2 linked regions of the Oreochromis niloticus genome follow. The protein of the gene in region 2 purifies or fractionates together with the protein of the main gene of each other region. This does not show direct contact. Links are inferred from orthologs where the notes say so. Each region holds a gene or a part of one and is shown on either strand. Other genes may lie near its edges. The genes, in order: cdca4 and ppp2r2aa.

What was found.
Region 1: the proteins of ppp2r2aa (region 2) and cdca4 purify together in Homo sapiens (affinity purification with mass spectrometry; 4 studies listed by BioGRID and IntAct, with this or other methods). This does not show direct contact. The link is inferred for Oreochromis niloticus from reciprocal best matches to the Homo sapiens genes PPP2R2A and CDCA4.

Annotation. Positions count from the first base shown.
Region 1 is NC_031983.2:6,916,513-6,927,262, forward strand, and holds the start of cdca4 (cell division cycle-associated protein 4), read right to left. Parts: upstream 5,233-10,750; 5' UTR 4,890-5,232; intron 1,918-4,889; 5' UTR 1,777-1,917; intron 1,442-1,776; 5' UTR 1,433-1,441; coding exon 512-1,432; 3' UTR 1-511. UniProt on the Homo sapiens protein: May participate in the regulation of cell proliferation through the E2F/RB pathway. May be involved in molecular regulation of hematopoietic stem cells and progenitor cell lineage commitment and differentiation.
Region 2 is NC_031977.2:12,395,212-12,406,735, forward strand, and holds the start of ppp2r2aa (serine/threonine-protein phosphatase 2A 55 kDa regulatory subunit B alpha isoform), read right to left. Parts: upstream 4,904-11,524; coding exon 4,813-4,903; intron 3,587-4,812; coding exon 3,489-3,586; intron 3,287-3,488; coding exon 3,121-3,286; intron 2,986-3,120; coding exon 2,873-2,985; intron 2,141-2,872; coding exon 1,963-2,140; intron 704-1,962; coding exon 539-703; intron 1-538. Other genes in the region: uncharacterized protein LOC102080115, read left to right, coding at 7,720-7,762, 9,692-9,886, 10,501-10,803, 10,881-11,195. UniProt on the Homo sapiens protein: Substrate-recognition subunit of protein phosphatase 2A (PP2A) that plays a key role in cell cycle by controlling mitosis entry and exit. Involved in chromosome clustering during late mitosis by mediating dephosphorylation of MKI67.

The sequences.
Region 1 (10,750 bases), on a different chromosome or scaffold from region 2:
AAATAGAACTGATGAAATGGCAGAGAATACGGCCAGAAGGAGCTAGTATGACAGAGTGAATGACGGACATGAACACCTAAATAAGAATGCATCATGGTAGTTATAAGGTAATTATCTTTGCCTTCTCACAGATATTGTTGAGTTTTGGATTTCAGAACCAAAGTGGGAAACTAACTGCTTTGCCAACTCACCAGCATACCTTCTAAATCCCCAGATTTGTTAATTTTACCCACACAATTGTAACTGCCAATTGCATTTTATTTTATTTCTTTATACAAAAGATCACAACAGCAGATGTTAACCTGCCCAAGTGGCTGTTACAGGAGACTAACTACATCTCTAATACCCCCATCCCCAAATCTACTTGGCTTGCTGTTAATTTCCCATCTTGATCCAAAACCTCCAACAATCTCTATGTGTAACAATACCACATACAGAACACACACGTGTACTGTGCATAGTCTGGAAAGAGTCTGTGGCATCAGTACAGACCAGAGGAATGTTCAGAGTTTCAGGATCCCACTATGATCTCCATGATGTGGTCCAGTTCGTTCAGGTCTGACCTGCAGCTCGAGCTGGAGCTCAGGGCCGTGGGCCCATGAGAGGACAGGCTATCGAGCAGATCGTAAGGCCCCATTTTCGGGGCGCTCTGCATGCCTGTCAGCACCGTATCGAGGTCATAGTAAGACGGGTCCACGTCTGAAAACAGTTCCTCGAGCGCAGGGTCAGGGGGCGGCGCTGGGTGCTTGATCTCAAAAGTGCCAAAAACCTGCTCCCCTGTCCTGGAGTCTGCACTTAGGTGGTCCCCGTCTCCCTCCTCTCCCTCTGATACGCACTCCTCGCTGTCCTCCTCTTCTTCCTCCTCGCACTCACCATCTTCCTCTTCCTCCTCCCAGCAGGGCCCCATGCCAAAGGGACCTGCGAGGTAAGAAGCCGAGGACAGCTGAGGGGAGACGGGTGACAAAGTAGACATGGTGACATCCGTCTCCACATCTCCCTCCATGACCACTTCTTCAGAGTGGTAGCCTTCCTCCACACCGACCACTGAGTAAGGCTTTGGGCTCTGCCCTGCCTGGGCTGCTGCATCAGTCTGTCGGCACAGCACTTCAGTGGCCACCAGGCGGTCGGTGGGACACTGGGCGGCTGCGAGGGCCTGCGTCATTATCTGCCAGGTGCCATCCTGGGTCATTTCCTCCTGGATCTGCCGCACCGTGTTGGCAATTAGAACTGAACGGCACAGGTTCGGCTCTACCAGCATGTGACAAAGTTGCAGCTTGATGAGCGACATGTCAAGCAGCGACTGCCGCTGCAGACTGTAAGAGGAAGACAGCGTCCGAGCTGCCACCGAAGGAGATGCGGGGCCCTGGTCGCCACTGGAGACGGCCTCCTCCCCAGAGTCTGAGAACTTGCGCTTGGTGCCCTTCGGGAACATGTTGTCTCTCTTTTGTGATGGCAAGGAGACAAAAAAAGAAAAAAAATCAGTGAGAAACAATGGCACCACTTGCTTAAATATTAAGAAATGTGCCACACAGACAAACACAAAATTTGTACTGCTGTCATTTTCACTAGCTAAAATAGTTACAAAGATTAAGTGCCATGTAATTAATTATGTAAATGTGTGATGTTATGAGGCTATGTGGTGTAACATTTGTGTGGACATGAGGGAGCTAGGGCTACAATCTGCTGAACTGCAGCTGTGACTTTACAAATAAACTACAGGCTTACTCTACAGTAAACAAATAATTGTTGTAGTTTTTTTCTTAAAGTTTGCTATACCTTTCCTGTTGAGAGGCACAGGCAATAGCAATGCAGCTTGGTCCCGGCTGCAACGCTTCAAGTACTTTTGTACGAGCGACAAGCAGCTTTTGTTCAGCACCATTTCTGCCCATTTTAGGCCAGTCTGAGGCAAGACTCCTGCTGGGCGGAACAACCACACTTTTAACAGACCACTGAGCCACCGAAAATAGCATGGTTACCGACTAAATGCGGACACTGCATCAAAGTAAGCACAGACTACAGAGACCTCTGTCAGAAAACAAAAACAGCACTCAAGTTAATTAGTGCATTTATTTTCTTTCCCCCACTGCCACCTGTGATCAAGAAAATCAAAAAGATATCCTAATCAATAAGGGTGCTTTCAAGGGGGTAAAAGTGACAAGGATATGGAAAGTAACAGCATTTACAATTCACAGTACAATGTACCACCATGAGCCACTAATATTTACAAGGGATATCAGGTTTCCAGGTCTACGCACGCGACGCTTCAAAAACTAGCAGAACAAGATTTTCACTTTCTCTTCACTGAGGAGGGGAAGAAAAGCACAGTCAACTTCCTCATTAAATACCACTTCAACACACACATGTCTTACAGAAACAAAACAATACTCCCGCTAATGTTAAAGGCCCCTCTGACTCCCAAAAATAAATGGGATGCAAGTGAATAGGAGACTGAGCTCCAAACAGCAGCCTGTGGCATTTAATTTTCCATCAGACAGAAAAACAGTATGCACAGTGTCCGGCTGTCTCCTCTGTGTTAAACCTGTGGGCAGGGCATTTGGGTCAATGATTCCAGTTGCTTCAAATTTCTATTTGTGATAGACATTTTAAAAAGGGGAAAAAAGAAAACACAAAATTTTTTAAAATCAGTACAATGAAAAACAACACTGATTCATGTTTTGCGTTAGGATTCACAGGGCACAAATCACAGAGAGGGTTGGATCACTTTACAGAAATTTCCTGTTTTTCAGGAACTAGGAATCAAAAAGAAACTACCATGCCCAAGACACTGCTGTTACTGTCATAAATCATCTCCACACCAAATTTTCATTTTTATTTTAGGATGCCAGGCCAAACTAAGGCCCATAATCTGTGCAAATTACATATTTTAACATTGACACAGTGTGTAGTCACGGGTGTTGTGCAATAGCATACTGACAAAAACTAGTAAAACAAGTCAACACCTTGTGAGTTCACATTTAATAGAAAAGTATACATCTAAATAGTTGATCAATCAGATCCCCACATTTTTCAAAAGTTACAATCCATGCCAAAAGGAAAAAAAAAAAGAGAAGTGGCTCGTAAGTACAATTAAAGGCTTGGGAGCCTGGAGGTCTTTGAGTCCTCGTAATCATAGAATAACATTTCCTGACAGTGGACAGAATAAAGGGGGGAAAAGGTAATTTATGAAGATACCCGGAGATCTAAAATGAAAAGGGTGAGAAAACGATTATGGACATATGTTGTCTTCTTATGTGGTGCAATAATACTGGTCCCTGTTAAATAAGAGACACTAGAGAGAACTACCTCCTTAAAGAAAAAAAAGTAGAAAAATGAAAAAAAAGAAAAAAAAGACATTAAATAGAAACAGGAAGAACTACAACCTGAGAGACGGATCACTGCACACAGAAGAGAAAACAGTTTTGGACATGACAACTTTTTTTTTTTTTTAACATTTATACTGATAATTGTTTTCGAACACCCTATAGTTTAGCATTTTTAAAGCTTAAGGATTCTACTCTGAATTTAGAATTAGATTTCTGAAAACAATAAGAAAAACAGCAATTCATATGTAGGTCATATATAAAATAAGACTGAAAGCGAGTTATGTCCTAACCAGTCTGATCAGTCATCTGTAGCAGGCAACATACACAGTGCGTTGTGTTGTGTTTTTCCACTGTGGGACATGTAAACAACTACAATCTCATACAATCAATTCCCTAAATGTTCTTACATTTTAACCACTTAAAACACTTTCAATCAAGATAATATTGACAGATAACCTAATATGAGCACTAAATAACAACCAAACTCCTGATAATAACATCTCAATCTGCAAGTGAACATTTTTTTTAAAGATTTACTTACTTTACCAATAAGAATGTATTGATTTTAAAACCCAAAGTGATCTGCTACAGACGCTTAATTTTAATGACTGATGTCGAGATCATACTCAGTTAAATAGTATTCATTTACACCTGCACATTAGTATTGATGTATTTCAGACCATTAAACTTAGTCGCACATCTTTTTAACATGATTTCACAAAAATGCTGACATATGTGGTGTTCAAAAACTTCTAACATATCAGGAAATAAGTGCGGGGAGGGGGAGGAGGATCACCTCGTGTAAATCAGTACTTTATTCTGATGCTGACATTACAGTTGTATTTACGTCAGACAGACAGTGTCACTAAACTGGATTTAAAACAGTTTAAATACAGTTACTAAACTGAGTGTTTTCTACTATGCTAGGAAGCAGAAGCCAAACAAAATGCAGCCCCGTTTTACGTCAATGGTTCTTAGCATGGCCCATCCCCCACCACTTTCACAGCCCGCCGTACTAAATGAATAAACACATTTTTAAAAAGCACTGCTTACATTTCTCCCACTTCCCTCTTAAATACATAGCGCTACCACTGCCAGTCGCCAGATTAAAACCGCTAGAATAGCTGTAAAAAGCGACGGAGAGCTTCTGGCCGTGACTGCCGCATGCTTTTGTCTTTTCAGCATCAGAGCTACCGAGCGACAATGAGGCCATTTTGCGCTAGTAGCTAACAGTTAGCCGGCCGGCTATGCTACAGACGGAATTTACACTTCTGGGTTGCCGCTAGCTAGCATAAAATGTTCCGTGAAAAAAGATGCCTCCACGGAGGCACAAAACCCTCGGCATTCGTTTGGAAACTTCCTCTTACATAAAACGAATGCTAGCGAACGTAAAGCTAATTAGCTAAAAGCGCCCACCCACCCACAGTCCGCGGTCCTTCCTCCTTTCTAGCCAAAAACAAGAGTTTTCGCCACGGCGGAGCTGTTAAGTTCCCCAAAAACAACACACGGTCACCCGGGTGGCTAGTTAAAAACACTATCGTCGGGTGCTTGAGTAGCCGTACTCACCTCGTGTTTGTGTTAATTTAATTCCCGTCTCGGTCATAGGATCGACAGCAGAGAAAGCGGAGATCAGGTTCAGATGAGATCATTCATGCCACGGCTTCAAAAACTGAACTACCTCTGTCCTGCTGCTGCTGCGGAGCGGACGACAGGAGGGGAAGGAAGGGAGGGGGAGGGGAGCCGACAAAAGCCAGCCATATGCCTGGGATTCCTCTCTAATGATTTCTCCCTGCTTTTCTCTCCTACTAATGCTTTAACAAACAAGCCAAAGCCCGCTGCTGGCTTCAAGAACAAGATGTAGAAGATCTGATGTTGTTCTGGTTACTCTTTGTGTATTGACGCTGCGTTTACCGCTGGCCTTTTTAACAAGAAAAACAATCTGTGGCGAGGGGAATTATACCCACTGAATGGAAAGTGACTAAGAAACACGAATTTACTCCGCTACGTGCCTAGTCCCTAGTATGTATGAGGTTATCGTGACATTTCGGTGTTATGCCTTTTGTTTATAGCGAATGATTTTACTTCTGATTTCACTGTCTTTATCTGACTGTTGCAACTACCAGTTTACTGAAACATATAAAAGGCTGGCTGGCGACAAACCTTTTGGCTTTTATTGTGCACGACTGATTACTTTAAGAGGTAAAATGACATAATACTCATTCAAACAAAAATAAATTTGTACGAAGTCCCTACAAGAGAATCCAATGTTGTTTAGCAAAACATCATTTTTCTATGTTTGTACTTTATTAATAATCCAATAACCTTTTTACTCACTGTATGAATTTTGAGCACTTACACTGTGGATTCACCCTCCAGTAATACTACAGTTCTACACTGACACAAATATCAAAACGCAACCCAGTTTATTAATAAATAATAAAAATAGGAAATGCTTAATAGAAAATTGTAACAAGAAACCTATTATTCTATTTATATAATATTAAAAAATAGTCTTTAACCACTCCTAATTTCTTTATATTTTCTTAGAGAAATGGGATATAGGTGACGTGATTTATTTAAAATTGTGCAAATACAAATATAGCTCGTACAACAAAAACTGAATGTGCACAATCCTAATCAACTTAGAAGTCAGTATTTGGTATGACCACCTTTATTCTTCAGCACAGCCTAAACTCTCTTAGGCAAGCTTTCTTGTGATTTCATTAATTAGGAATAGGAAGAATCAGGAATAGTTCTCCAGGCTTCTTAAAGGATATTCACAGCTCTTCTTTGGCTGTTGGCTGTTTTTTTGTTGTGTTTTCTGTAAAGATGATCCCACACTGCTTCAGCAATGTTGAGGTCCAGGCTCTGGGGAGGCCAATCCAGGACTGATAGTGTTCCACAGTGCTTTGCCACTCATTTTCATTTCAGTTATTCCGTAAATTGTCATACGTTAGCCCTTTCTTCCTGTTTCCTTCCTTAAGAATGGCTTCATGATTGTCACCCTTCCATTGAGACCGTTTCTGATGAGGCTTTGGCAAACCGTAGATGGATCAACTAAAGGGCCAGATATGTTTCTCAGGTGCTTTGTCATGTCTTTGCTGATTTTTGTTCCTATTTCTTTCAATCTGCCACTTCTTTTTTGTTTTCATCCTCCACTTGTCACTTCTTTGATATGCCATCTTTTTAGCTAAAAATGCTTTTTTTTATGCCTGTGATACTGTACGATACTATGGCATTTTACACTTAAAGCTACAATGTAAAATTGGTTAAGTGTATAGAAAACAGTGGTTGAGCCCATGAGTTAGATGGCTTTATATGTCTGAATTGTCAATTTTCTTGTCAATTAATAAGTCCGGTGTTAAGCACCTTAAAAGGCAATAAAACATTCTTCTGAAAATAGTCAGATACAAGGAACGGACTGAAAATGAAAGAAAAATTTGCTTCAGAAAGTCAGAAGAACTATTGCTCAAGACCAGTTTATAAAAATAACAAGAATGTCTGGCTTCTTGGAAGTGAAATGAGGGGTGGCTCAATACTGTTGCACAGTACCGTATTTATTTTATTTTTTTTTACATGAAATAATTGTTCTTTTTTAATTTGATGGCACCGAAAAAAGCTGTGAAACAGCCATTAAAGGCACCTGGTGGAACATCTCTTTACACTAATTGGGTTTGTTGGCAGCAGGTCAGTAACACGACTGGGTTTAAAAACACTGCCACACATGCAGACTGAGCCTCTGGTAGTTGTGATCAGAACTAACACACCACATTTTGGGTAATAGTGCGTGGATCTTACCCAGTGAGCTGTAAGCATGGTTTATACATGTTATGTGTGTTGAGACCGCAATAATAAAACCATTTTGCTCAACCCCGAACAGTTACTCTGCTTTATTTTGAATGTCACTGGTCCATTATGAGTCAAATTTGAATAAAGCCTTTGAATAAAGTTCAAATGGTGTTAACTGTTTTTAGATAATATAACAGAAACCATAGTTTTACACTTAATACATGGCAAAAAAGGTATATACTTGTTGAGTCACTGTATGCTCTGTTTTCACCAAGTCAAACAAACAAAATGCGTCTAAGCTTTTTCCTTTTGGTGGTGAAAAGGACTTGCTTTTGCTTATGCTCGTATTTTCTTAAAATGCTGAAGAAATCATTCTGGCGAGGTAACAAAAAGTCAGCTGGTTTCAGTAGCTGATAGAACCGCTTTTAACCCTTTATAGTTTGGTCTAACTTAACTCGGTGTGTCATTTTTTCTTATTTTCACCTTTTTCTGTCTTGTTTATGTGGACAGACACTTAAAAGAAATGTCTTTGGTAATATATTGTATTGATAACCTGTGGAAATATTCTCATTCACTGGAAATTTTAATGCAATGACAGACAGATTCAAAGAACACTGAGTTTTATACTTTCCCTGTGTACTAAAGAAATCAGAGATCTGATTACAAATCCATACTAAGGCCAGAAAAAGACAATAAAGTCAAGTTCAAATATGATCCCATGTGATTTTCCATCTCAATAGAGATCACTTTGATAAGTAAACTGCATGAACAGTCTTTTAGAATTGTGTATTTTGCTCATTGATGGTTGTTTTTTAAGCTTCTAAACTGCAGGTTTAATAAGAAGTTAAACTGCACTTTGTTTATATCTTCCCAAATCAGTAGCAGCCACCTTTGGAGGCTTTTCATTAGTGTTTTTTATAAGACTCTTTAAATCTGATTGGTGTAATTACCAGTAATTATCATCGCTAATGATGCTTATTACCTCTGCCTCTGGATGTTTTCATTTGCAGCAATGGTTATTAGCTTATCTATGTGCCTGTTACCAGAACCTACACAGACTTTAAATCCTCGAGGCTCCAACATCTAGCTACTGATCTGTAACCTCATTGGAACAATTATTAGACTTGACACAAAAAACAGAAGGTGGGGCTACTTTTTGGATAAGACGGATAATAAGAGTTAATTTGACTTATTAGAGGATATAAGTTACGTACCAAACGCCAACTTTAGCAAGGTACACCTTGCTAGCCCCAGGTTAGCCCCCTTTTGCTATAAAAACTGTTTTAATTCTTCGTGGCACTAATTCAAAATGGTGCTGGAAAATTTCCTCTGAGATTTTGGTGCATATTGACGGGACAGTATCACATAGTTGCTGTTCATTTATCGGCTGCGTGTCACCACAACCACCTCTCAAAGGTGCCCTATTGGATTTGGTCACTGTGGAAGCCGTTTGAGTACAGTGAACTCACTTTCATGTACAAAACCCCCCCCAAAAAAAACTGTTTGACATGAGTCTCCAAAAGTTGAATCTGTTCATCTGGACGTAGCGTTTTGTGGGAGAAACGTTTCGTCACTCATCCAAGTGACTTCTTCAGTCTCAGCTGACTGCAGGTTTCCCCAAACCTTATAAACAGTACATTTGCATAATGACTGAAACCAGCCCACTGAGGGAACAATGGGCTGTGAGGTCAGTTTCTTAATCATAATTATGCAAATTCCATGACCATTGATCAACAATCACTGACCAAAACCCACTGATCAAAGAACACTGATCAATGGCCATGAGTACCATTCACAGAGAGTTGGGGAATGGCTGCAATCACAGCATTGTAAGATGGTGACAGATGTACCCTTAGGCCCCCTCCTCGATTCAGAGATGGTCTTTCCCTTTTCACGTAAATGGCCTCCTTGACTCCGCGCTCAAACCGAGGAGGGGGCCTAAGGGTACATCTTTCGCCATCTTACAATGCTGTGATTGCAGCCATTCCCCAACTCTCTGTGAATGGTACTCATGGCCATTGGGGTGGGGTGGCTGTAGCTCAGGTGGTAGAGCAGGTCATCTACTGATCGGAAGGTTGGTGGTTCGATTCCTGGCTTCCCCTAGTCTGCATGCCAAATATCCTTGGGCAAGATACTAACCCCAAATTGCTCTCCGATGCATCCATCGGAGTATGAATGTGTGTGTGAATGTTACTTAGAAAGCACCTAGAAAAATGTGCTTGTGCGAATGGGTGTGAATGGGTGAATGCACAAGTTGTGTAAAGCGCTTTGAGTGCTCAGAAGAGTAGAAAAGCGCTATATAAGAACCAGTCCATTTACCATTGATCAGTGTTCTTTGATCAGTGGGTTTTGGTCAGTGATTGTTGATCAATGGTCATGGAATTTGCATAATTATGATTAAGAAACTGACCTCACAGCCCATTGTTCCTTCAGTGGGCTGGTTTCAGTCATTATGCAAATGTACTGTTTATAAGGTTTGGGGAAACCTGCAGTCAGCTGAGACTGAAGAAGTCACTTGGATGAGTGACGAAACGTTTCTCCCACAAAACGCTACGTCCAGATGAACAGATTCAACTTTTGGAGATTTACTTTCCTGGATGATTGAGAATGCATCAAGATGTTTGACATGAGTTTTGCAACATGGTTCATGATCCTGGTGGATGCTGCTGCCAGAAGCGGTCATAGAGTGAGGAACATGGTCAACAATACTCAGGTAGGCTGCGGCTTTTACATTATGCTCAGCTGATATTAAGGGGCCCAGAGTGTGCCAAGAAGTTATGCACCATGCCATTAGACCTCCAGAACCACTGATCCAAGGCAGGATGGAGCCATGCATTCATGTTGTTTCTGAATGTTGCAGCAGAAATCGAGACTCATCGGACCAGGCAGGATTTTTCCACTCTTCAATTGTGCATTGTTGATGCGCCTGTGTGAACTGTAGCACGAGTTTGCTGTTCTTGCTGCTACAGACCATCTTCTTCAAGGTTCCATGTGTCGTACTCTCAGAGATGTTCTTCTGCATACCCTGGTTGTAATTACTGGGTATTTCAGTTATTGTTGCTCTAAATATATAGAGAGAGACTTATGGAGTAGATCAACAGTTTATGAAATATTCAGTCTGTGTCTACATGCCCAAATACATTGAGTTGCTATGTGATTAGATAGCCATGTTAATGAGCAGCTGAACAGCTATACCTATTGAAATGGCCAGTGAGTGGACACCAGCCATTTCTTTTTTACTCACAGCAAAGGGAACATACATAAATAATAGCTCATGCTATACTCACTCAAACTCAAAGCGAGAATCTGCTGACATGGACTTAATCCCTCACGGTCTTCCACTCATTTTTATAATCACTGTCTAATATCACAGGTGTTTACTTCAAGATATGTAAAATGTTTAGGCCATGCCATCAGAAGTTTCACTAAGAGTTGTTTTCATAATTAATCAATTATTTTGTCCAAAAATTGCCCCATAGCTGTGAAAAATCTCCATTTTCATAAACCTGAGGGTGAGGCCTTCATTTGTCTTCCCCTTGCAAACAGACAAGAACAGACAAAAAAAAGTACATCCTTAAAAACAAAAACAAAATCAAAAAAACTGGAACATTTACAAATTTTGTGTGGTTGGTTAAAAA
Region 2 (11,524 bases):
AAAATTGAAGAAAATATTTTCAGAAAACAACATTTAAAAAAAAAAACAACAACTTGATGAATGACAAAACCACAAATTTTATGTACGTGTTCATTTTTAAGCCTTCAGGCAGTGTATCTGGAGGATAATGTAGTCAGTGCAAAGACCTACCCTGCTGTGTGTACTCACTCCCCACTTTAAAAAGTTATGAAAATCCAAACCAACAGCTCCTTATGCCTGTGGTTTTTCTTTTACTTAAACACTGAACGCATTAAATTTCAACATATAAGTCAGCTTTGTTTCCTGTTGGTTCCCCTTAAGAAAGGGCTCTCACAACTGTGCAACTTTTCACTTGTCAAGTCTTCTTCTCAACAAACCGTCAGCTTTGTTCAAGCACATTGCACTAGTCTAGTCAGCCACCGTCCATGGCAAGAGTAACTTTATAATTGCAGCTGATTAATCGAGTGTTACACTGATAGGCACAATGAGAGCCCCCCATCGATCGTTGAGGAGACACACAGTCAAACAGTTACAGAAACACAAAAAGGGACTGACTTACGTTTGGCGTGGCTGTCACATAGCGCTGCTGCCCTCATGTCACACAGGCGGATCGTGCCCTTGCTGCTGCTGTAGACAAAAGTGTTGCATTGGTTGGGGTGGAACTCGGCCGCTGTGATCACCTCTGTTAAATCTTCCATATTGGCCGGCTTAATGTCAACAATATCTGAAGAGTTGAGGTTAAGGTAAAAAACAAACAAAACCCTGAACAGACATTTCAGCAACTTGAAGAAAAATCTTTCAGAAATAAAATGAATTTGTATTATTATTATTATTATCATCATTATTATTCATAGTGTCGTGTTATCAGTTTGAAGACCCCATTAAAGCAGGCTTTACTGCTTGCAGGTAAACAGTCTGTGCGCAGATTAAAAGAAAAACTGCTATTGCCACTATCACAGACCATTATCAAATTCACTATGATTTATCTTTTTTAAAACTATCTGCATTTCATTTTAAACAGTGACTGGCACATGGAAAAAGTTTTGTCACAGATATCTGGTGACTAGGACAAAAGTGCCCCAAATCATGTATTCACTTGTGAATACTTTCCATTTCATGCTCATGTGTTTTCAACTTTTAACAGCTACATTAATCTCACAGATGACCTCTGACCTCATGATCCTACAGTGATAAAACCATTTAACATATTTTAGTTTGCATTCATTCTTTCCCCAGTTCAAGTGTTTTACATCAGTTGAGGCAATCCTTAATAAAAGGCAAGAGTTGCACTGCATCGATCTTCCGGCATGAAGAGAAGATATGAGCGTCCAGAACGAGCAACAAATGTCAATTCAAGAAAAACGTGATTACACTTTGTATCTAACTCTGGTTCATCTTTGTTTATACAGCCTACATAAAACAACGCAGTAAGAACTCATGGGGTGAAATTATTAACATAAGATGTAGGAGGTGATTATTTTAGACTACGTTCAAGGCACCCAGTTAAACATCCCACGCTTTGGGGACATCTGGTGGTAGTATAAATAATGACACTGTGCTACAGATTAAATAGACACCAGTGAAGATAATTTTTTACCCTTGTCCAGTCTGCCTGTAGACACAGTGTGTACATTTTTAAATATCAGGCAAAGAATTGTTTATATGGCCTACAAAAATACATGAATCATGTTTTATTTGTTGCTAAGTAATACATAGTCTTTGTCTAATTTGACTGATACGGGGTGAGCAGGTGAACAGGATTAATAAGTCAGGCATCTCTTCAAAGAAAGGCTTAAAACTAACCACAATATATCATTCATTATTTCACATAACATTCACATACATTTTTTTTTTTTTTTAAAGTACTCTCCCTGGCTTACGCTCCTTTGAAAAAGGATAAACTGGGAATAAATAAGACAAAACACTGACAGAATAATTTTATATTATTGCAGTACTTTATGGAATTAAAGAATGAAAGGATACTAAAGCTGCGATCAGTGATCTCCAGATGCCAGAGGTTAACGCGCAGGTCATCAGCAGACAAGTAGGTCTCACAATCGCTGTTGACCGAGATGGAGTTGATGTGGTATGTGTGCGCGTTGGCAAACACTCGTCTAGGGCTGGCTTCCACCATCAAGTCCATGGGCCTGAATACTGGTACCTGAAAGCAAAAGTGGGGCTGTTTTTACATTTCTTTAATGGGAGATGCAGTAGATTTTTTGACCTTGATTTTAAATATATGTACACAGGCATGTTTTAAAAAAAAAAAGGAATTTCACACTACAAAAAGAAAAAAAAAAGATTAAAAAGTGTCCAAATTATTTTTCTTACCCTGGTAAAGAGGCACAAAGATGTAGGTCAAAATGTACATAGATTTACCCATTTTTAAGATGGGGACAGTTACTTGCCCTTTAAACAAAGAAATAAAGGCATTGCCTCAGTATAAACGCAAACCTGTTGAACAGAGTCTATATTTGGAAACTGTTCAGCAACCACAAGAAGAAAAAAAAAGGGGGGGGGGGGGGGTCTGTCAAAATTAAAGGTGAATAAAGCAGACATTACATCAACTGCAGCACTGCAGTAATTGCAGGAACAGATTGGTAATTTTATTAGTTCCATCTGTTTACTTGCTCATAAGATAAGTCAACGTCTCAATCAAAAATAGAACAAACAGTTTTGTAATGAGTGGAAGGAAACACGGGAAAGAAACGATTAACATTTATTCCAACTAATTCAGATGTAAATTACTAACCAGACTCAACATATTAAATTTGCTGTTCATTTTCTTGATCTACTCATAAATGAATGGAAAGTAAGCAAAGCATCTCAGTTTTGGCTAACAATGTCAAACCAAAGAAAAGATCTGGACTGTAATAAAGCCAGTTCTACACACCCGTAGTGTAGTGACAGTGTTGGGATCTCTGTATCGCCCATCTTCTTCCTTCAAATTGTAGCCCTCTGGTCTTTTGTCACGCTCACTAATTTTCCACAGCTTTATGGTTTTGTCTGCCAATGAGAAAGAGCAAAGACCATGAGAGTCATTGAGTTATATTTACTCCCATATAAGGCAGTAGATGGCGTAACAAAAGTTCACATTTACTACAGCACAATAATTTACTCAAAAGAAAGTAATTTACAAACCATTTGTTGACAAAAGAAAATGTGCTGCATTCTTCTGAGGCAACCATCGAATCTTGTTGATCTTCTCCTCAATCTCAAGACTTTTCAGGTAGTCAAACTCAGGCTCGTGGCTCTGGAAGGTGCTGTAAACATTGTACTCTCCGCGGCACTGAAGCTTATTCTTACTCTAAATACAAAACAGATCAAACAAAAGTTCAAGCGTTATGAAACCAAGATTCAATGTCTCGGGTCAAGATCACAAGAAACATTGTACTTTTACCTGTACGTCTTTGTGTTATATAAACTGAGTTTGATGACCTACCTGCTCCAGAGTATTATGAATCAAATGTTAAAAATATGTACTGTTTCTATGTGTCACTAAAACATACCTCTTGCTCCTGCTGAAAGATGACAACACGACCTCCCTTGTCCCCAGTTGCAAGTAACTCTCCAGATTGGTTAAATTCAACAGTGGATATGATATCAGCTGTCAATAATAAAAATTGCAAAAATGAGACTAGCATCAAATATAAATAACCATACATTGTTTGTCAGAGTTTCTGATGAAGGCTATTGTCAATCTAATTATTGTAAATCGAATTGCTCTCTAAATGATTCACTGCCTTTCAATGGGAAGTGGTTTACAAAATGCCTCAGCAGCCCACCTGTGAGGGGTGAAAATCATGTCAACCATGGTGAAAACACAACACAGCAATGACGCACACATATTTATACACACACACTCGACGGAGCTGTGATCTGGTGAAACTAAACGTACACTCAACAATCTTAGGACACAAAGGAAAAAAGAACAGAAAAAAAGTTTCCATCCTCAGCTTCAGATTTAGCACTTTTCAAAGACAACCATTCTCACCAAGTCCTACAATACAACAATCAATCCCCACTTACACACTGGCACTACTATAGTGCAGTCGTTAACATCGACAGTGTGCGCCTGATACGACCCGACTCCATGCAACCCCATAAAACAATAGCAGACAGACTGAAGGCGAATCCTTTTTTACAGGAAACTAATAAAAGCGTTACTGGAGTGTTGTGTTTTGAGCCCATGTACTCCTATGTATTGACACAAGGAGAGGCTCTCATTTATACATGTTCCCAGACAAAGCTTACTGTAAACAAATGGGTAGCCCTTTATACATAAATATGGCCACCATGTACTGTAAACACACTTTTGGTGCTTTGAGTTTTCCTTTAGTTCGGAAATAATTAGCTGATAAAGGTTTTCTTTTAACTTGGCCACTCAAACAGATCTGTAATTAGTCAAATGTAAGTGCTGCTTCGTTAACAAATATGAAACGCCTATTAAAGATTCTTGTCTGGCTGAGGTAAAATCTTTTTCAATTCTAACATGCAGTTCTCTCCCAATCATGTAAACATTGTGTAATACCCCTCTAATACCCAGGGTGAACGGAGAAAATAGTGAATGCCATTTAGCACAATTATGCCAAAAATAGAAGACTGTTGTCAGTCTGTGAGAAACCAAATGGACTACAATACCACACCACTGATCCCTTATACCCATTATTACTCTAAAAAAGAAGGCATTACTTTTCATTGCATATTTAGAAATACCACAAATATAAAGTGTGGCAGCAGCACTTTGAAGAAAAGCCTAAAACAAGCGTGCACAGGATGGTGATCCTGGCAGCTCAGGCTAGCAAATGTTCAGTGACTATCACATGGACTTACCTTCAGCGACGTCGTCATCTATTGCTCCTTTGACTTGGGAGAAGCACCACTGCACATCATTGCTCCCACCACCAGGCCCTGCACACAACATGACCCCAAGATTGGACACACCACCATTAAAGAGGGACAACTTTACACGCGTTAGCCTGCAGCTAACTTAGCTAAAAACATCAATATGACAACGAGGCCTTAAGGAAATTCACAGTAACTGTGCGTTGCAACTGCTGCTATAAACTCATAGGCACAGATAACTACTTTACGTGTGTTTGTGGAGAATACCGCTCACTTTAACACTAACACTGACTTACACTGGCATCTTTGAATTATCCTAGCTCGCTAGCTAGCTTGCGCTGGTTAAACATGACATAACAGAGAAACCCATCATCGTTGTCAAACAGGTCAGCACCTGTTAATTAATAACCCCAGCCACTGTGGTAGTCTTTTCCCCTGTGATTTTACCTGCCATGGTGAGCGACTCGTAGAGGGGTATCTAAGCGGGCTCGGGCCCTGGACTGGAACAGTGCTGACCCGGGTCGGCTGGGAGGTTCTAGCGAGGAGCAGTGCAGGAATGAAGCCGGGAGTGCTGCTTGGTACTCTGAAGAACGTAAGCAAAAGTCCTCGGCCCTGCTATGCACCACGGAACTGTTTTACACAAAGTAATTAATAATGCCTACTATTGGCTTGTAGACTTTGCACTCTACTTTGAGAGTTCCCTCGCCTCTGCCTCTTTACAGCACTTTCAAAATGGCGAAACGCGGGCGGCGTTCAGCAGTCAACAGGGAGCGGTGAGAGGGTGCGCCGCGAAATTTTAAACCTACCCCTCAGAGACGTTGGTCATCTTCCTGTCTGCGGAGACCGCGAGGTCACTTGATTTACTGCGCTTTAAATTCATAAAAAGGGTAATAAGCAGGTTTTTAAAATATAAAACCCCGTATAACTGCTAGACCCCGCCCATGTGCATTGTTTCAGTGAAGAAAATCGAACTAACCCCGGACGCATGCTGAATTTAGAAAGTGGAGTCCGAAAGCTCCAAGTTTAAAACAGAAATTCAGATTTCTTAATAAATTTTAGAGGGGTTTTTAATTTGTTTTAATGTCCACAAAAGTTATTTCACATTGGGTGGATTTTATGAGTTACTATCTTGTTTACTGCCTATTAAATGTAGTCATTGCATGACCCACTGATTCCACTGAGTTAAACTACAACTGAATGGGAAATAAACTGAGTAATAATTGCAGTAGATGCATCTGACATCTTTGTTCAGCAGGATGTCTCTGAGAGTTCAGCCTCAGAGCCTTATGCGTCAATGTAAGCGTAACTAGAAAAAACGTTTCTTCCAAGTAAAATTAATCTCACCTACTAGGGCCCTGTGAGGAAGTTAGTTTTACAGTTATTAGCGAAGGAAAAGCTCAGGTGTATGATGTTATCAATGCCTCCCTTCGTTTCCTGGTAACTCTTTGGCACATGAACAGTTGAGAGTGTTTATACCAGAAAAAAGTGACTTGTCATAGCCAGAAAAACAAAGTTAAAACAGATTTTCATTGACAATGACTCAGCTCTATCAACTGGCTATGCAATGAAGGTGATTCAGCGTGTTTACTGCCTTTTATTCAAACCAGTTCACCTAGATGGATGGCAGCCATCTAAATTACCAGTTATACCTGTGCTCTTTTTTTTTCTTTTCTTTTTTTTGAATGACACATCAAAGAATACTTCCTAAAAAGAGGCCTGCTGCAACCTGTATGAGATTCTCTCAACACTATTTTGAATGTATATAGATCTAAGGCAAAGATTTAGGTTTTAGCTCATGGTCGAAATCATGAACCTTAAGCCACAGTGACACCTTAGTACATTTGAGTAATCTAAAAGGAATAAATGCAGTAAGAATACATACCCACTCAGTGTCAAATATTGTCTGATACTATTGTACCAAAGTATCATTCTTCAGTCTTACTGATATCTAAAGTGTCACAGATATAGTGCATGATGCATGTGAATATAAATGTTTTTCAGATTTCCTGGTCACATTTGTTAAATCTCCGTCATATCTGGTAAATGTCTATTAAATAAGATCAAATAAAACCAAACTACCAATCACACAAATGCTACTGAATGCTAATATGCTTGTTTGCTCGCTCCCTTTTGCCAGAATTTTCATGTTCAAACAACACAGGAGCTGACACTGCAGCAAAGCACATCAAAGAAGCCAGTGTGGAAATTTTTCTGTATACACTGTATAGTATAATAAGGCATACTGATTTATACTTCCCCAGCAACCATGTTAGGAACGTATTTCTTCAGTTAAAAAGCGGTCAGATGACTGTCCAACCAAACCAACTGTCACTCAACCACCCAGACCAACAGAGAAGAATCTCCACTCAACAGTCAGTGGGCCAAAGCAAACTTTTTAAATATATATAACCATCTCTATCCAAAATGCATCAAATGTACAAAAAAGCATAGAAGAATTCAGATCATTTTCTTGGATTTCAACATTTTTGCGCTGAGCAGTCCAGTTTCAATTTGCAATTAAGGAACTGTGCAGATTAAAGAGACTCTTCTCTTTATAAGTATTTTTCTATTATATTATCAAATAAATATATCTGTTAGACTCTGACTTCCTATTCAGTGTTATTTTCATTCTGACACTCACATAAACCGCTTGCTTCCTCTCTACTGCAAAAGGTGATGTAAGTATGATAAAGAAACTAACCTTAAAGAAATGGGGAGGGGATTTGTGGTCAGAAATGCGGGGCAAGTTCATTTTTCAGTAACATAAGATGGGATGGACAAAAAAAATCAAGAATCACCAGAGACCCACAGATAGGCAGGACAGGCTAACAAAAGCAAACTAACTGCAGGTTTATAATTTCCACTTAAAGATCTTAAAGAAGCGACTAAACCAACATGATGACATCACTGCTACTACTCATCTTCTCAACGATGACAGGTAAAAAGACTATGACCAACTCCTAATTGATATTATTCACAAATCATTATACTGTAAATAATGTTAAATATGATTAAAATAGGTATTACACTATGTATTTTGTACTTCATATATTTACACAACAGGGACTGTACATATTAACATTGTCGCATTTAAGCTAAATGCAACAGATGCAATCATATAGGACTTCTGGCCGCAGCTAATTTCCACACCGTTTGCTGCTTAGGCTTTTACGACACTGTATATCAATAAAAGTCTATTTTTTTTCTTAAAATTGTACCTCTGCCCCATCTTTGCTGTTACCGAATTCTCACAGATTTTAAAAGCCAAGAGCCATTTTCACTCTTCTAATATTGAATGTTACTACAATGTTACCCATGACTTTTCTTTCTGTTTTAAAGAACATTACATTATGACAGATGATCATGATTATTCACATTACTTTAAAGTTTCACTAATGTGTTTATGGTAGGATTAAATCAAATGCCATGTCGTATTTTCCACCATGACATCAATGACCGTGAAACAGGTCTAAAAAGGCCCTCACTCTCTAAAAACTCATTTTTTACAGTGACACAGGGATTAATAATGCCAGTCAGAAGAGATAAGGACTGACAGCTTATGAGACCTAAGCTATATGGATAAAAATATTAGGCCACCCTCATATTACACCCACAGGAGCTGCTCTGCCAAACCCATGCCATGAAGCTCTCAGTGCACAGTTTTTGTGCAGATGTTAATGCTAGAAGAGGTCTGGAACTCCTCATTTATTGAGTTAATACAGTGTTGGAAACTTTCATTGACTTAGTGGCTCAGCAAACAGTGACTCTGCTTTAAAACTGTATGAGCAATCATACCATTTACAGTTGTTGTGAATATCTAAGAAGGAAAAAGTTTCATTAACTATGAAACTTCATAAATTTACAGTAGCATCCTATTACAGTGCCTTATTTGAATACAGAGACCCATTCTTTTACAAACCTTTGTAGTCTGCATGCCTACGTGCTTGATTTTACACACCTACAACAGTGGGACTTACTTCTGCCCGTATGCAGGGCACCTGCCACTAAAAACAAGAAAACACAAACATTTTAGAAATCTGTTAAAAACTTGTTGTTATTTATTAGCTAACAAACTGAATTCAAGTTTTTATACTGAAATTTGAGCTGGCACAAGCATGACAATTACTACTGAAATTGGTTTTTATTGGCTAATTTTGGATGTGATTTACTTTTTTGTTGTTGCTTTATAGTAAAACATAAAATTTATAAACTCACGTATAACAAGAAAAATTATATTTTAACATTAAAAATATGATTTTGATTACAGAGCTCACAGATTAACCAGAAGCATAAAACATTACTTTGGTAATTACCAATGCTGTAAGTTTAGGGTAGCCGTGTTATAAAACCACCACCACCAATGGGTGGTGGTCTAATAAAGCTTTTTAAGTAAGCACTGTAGTTTAAGTCCATGAACTGTGGACTTGGTGAGACAAGAGGAAGGAGAAATGAAAACATGACTAAACCAATCCATGCAAAAACAAACAAACAAAACAAAACCTTAGAAATCTGGAAGCAGTTTTTTCACATGTACTGCATATTTTGTTAGCAACTGTGAAAAACAACAACAACAACAACAATAATAATAATAATAAACATGATTTAATGGTATATTAATTAATTGTAACATTATATATTGAAGCAGAAGTTCGCTTTTGCAGTAGTGACACTTTGAATCATAACAAAAATACTAACTGGTCACAGCATCATGCCTATATAGTAAAAATAAAAACAGCAATGTTTACAGCATGCTCTGCTAATAAAGTATCTCAAGACTGTTGCATGAAGAACTGTGCACCTAATTGATAAATTAATTTGCTTATTTGTTTTGTTAAATGACCAACATAATTTGAATATTTGTCTTCAGGTTGTGAGTTGATGTCAGATAGAAAGAACTGCACAGGAGGTTGGGTTCACGTCCCCTTCAACAACACTGAAACAAAGGCAAACTGTCAAATGGCTTATGGAAATCATACAAACTGCATTCTCACAGTGATCACCAGGAAACCTATGAATGAGAACAAAAACAAAACGGAAAAACATTGTGATGAACAGAAACTTGGTAAGACATGTTTTTCGTTTGTTTATTAATTGATGAATTCATTTTGGCTTCATTTTGTTAGTTTTTGTTGTGACTTTTTATGGCTTCAATCAAGGTAAAAAAAAATGTTATATGCAGTATTTTCTATGCAACATGGTGGTGCAGTGGTTTGCACTGTTACCTCAACGCAATGGGGTCTTGGGTTTAAATCTGCAAGCTGGGGGCTTGGCTTCTCGCCACATAATCCAGCTTCCTCCCAAATGTCCCAAAGACATTCGTGTTAGGTTAACTGCCAATTTCCCTTTGGCCACTGTGAATGGTTGTCTGCCTCTCTGTGTTATCAGTGTGATGGCCTGACAGCTTGTCCACGATCCACAGCTTGATCAGTCAGTAGAGTCATAAAGTTTGGTTCCAATTTTCTACTTTATTTACTGTTTGCTGTTATTTGCCGTTTTCCCTTTTAAGACTTTTCATAATCACAAAATGTTACAAATTTTACTAATTACAAATGTAATTTCTTAAATTTAAGATGCAATTTTAAAAGAAAATTTTAACAGAGTACTAATACACATACACACTTTACTGTAAAAATATTACACTGTTTGATTTTGTTTCATCTGTATATTTATTCGCAGTGAAATCAGACTGCATAAAACCATTTAATCAAACTGGGTACATTACTGCTAAAGTCACCATCAGATGTGATTATCCAAGAGAAGAAAACAAGTCCAGGGAGATGTTTTTCTGCAAAGATAATAATTCCATCTGTGAGGATATTTTACCACCACAATTTCATCAAAAATGGACATTCACAAACAACAGCCAGGGCTTTAACGTGTCCATCAGTAATGTGTCCCTACAGGATAAGGGTGTCTACTGGTGCGGAGTAAAATTATCTAATAGCTATGCACTAAAAAAAATAAGGCTGGAAGTTAAAAGTGAGTACTCCACAACTTCATTTTCTGAGTTTTAAGTTCTACATTTAAACATGTTGGCAAATCTCTGTTTTCTATAGGTATTAGTGGCTTTACAAAATCAGAAACTGTTGGAAAAAACTTCACATTCTTGTGTAACTACACCCAGAGTGAGCAGTCACTTACAAAATTTATCTGTAAGGGGGACGACCCATCTGCATGTCAAACTCTTGCTAATACCAACAACACAAGCAAGAACGAGAGGTTTTCCATGAATGACAACAAAACGCAGACAAACATCAGCATAACAGTGAGAGAAGTAACTGCAAACGACAGCGGGACGTACTGGTGTGGAGCAGAAAGCCCAAACAAACAACACAGTGACATGTTCTTCAGCAAATTATTCCTGACTGTCGGTGAGTCATCATTTATTTTAATTTTTTTTTTTAAAGTGTGTAGGTGACCTGGTTCAGAATACAGTTGATATCACAGGATGGTAATCATGTATATGTACTATCTTTAGCTGGTGATATGCCCCCCCCCGCTGACTTAAAAGCCTAATAAAAACTATTAGCCAGAACCAATAACCACCTTAAAATTGTAAGTGAAGAAGAATACACGTCTGTGTCGTCTGGAACCACGGGAAGCGCTTAATAAGAGGAAGTGGTTTGATACTCAAATAGCTACTAGAAGAGCTCAGTTGTTTCAAGTTTAATTTTCACTTTAAGCATACAGTCATGTGTCC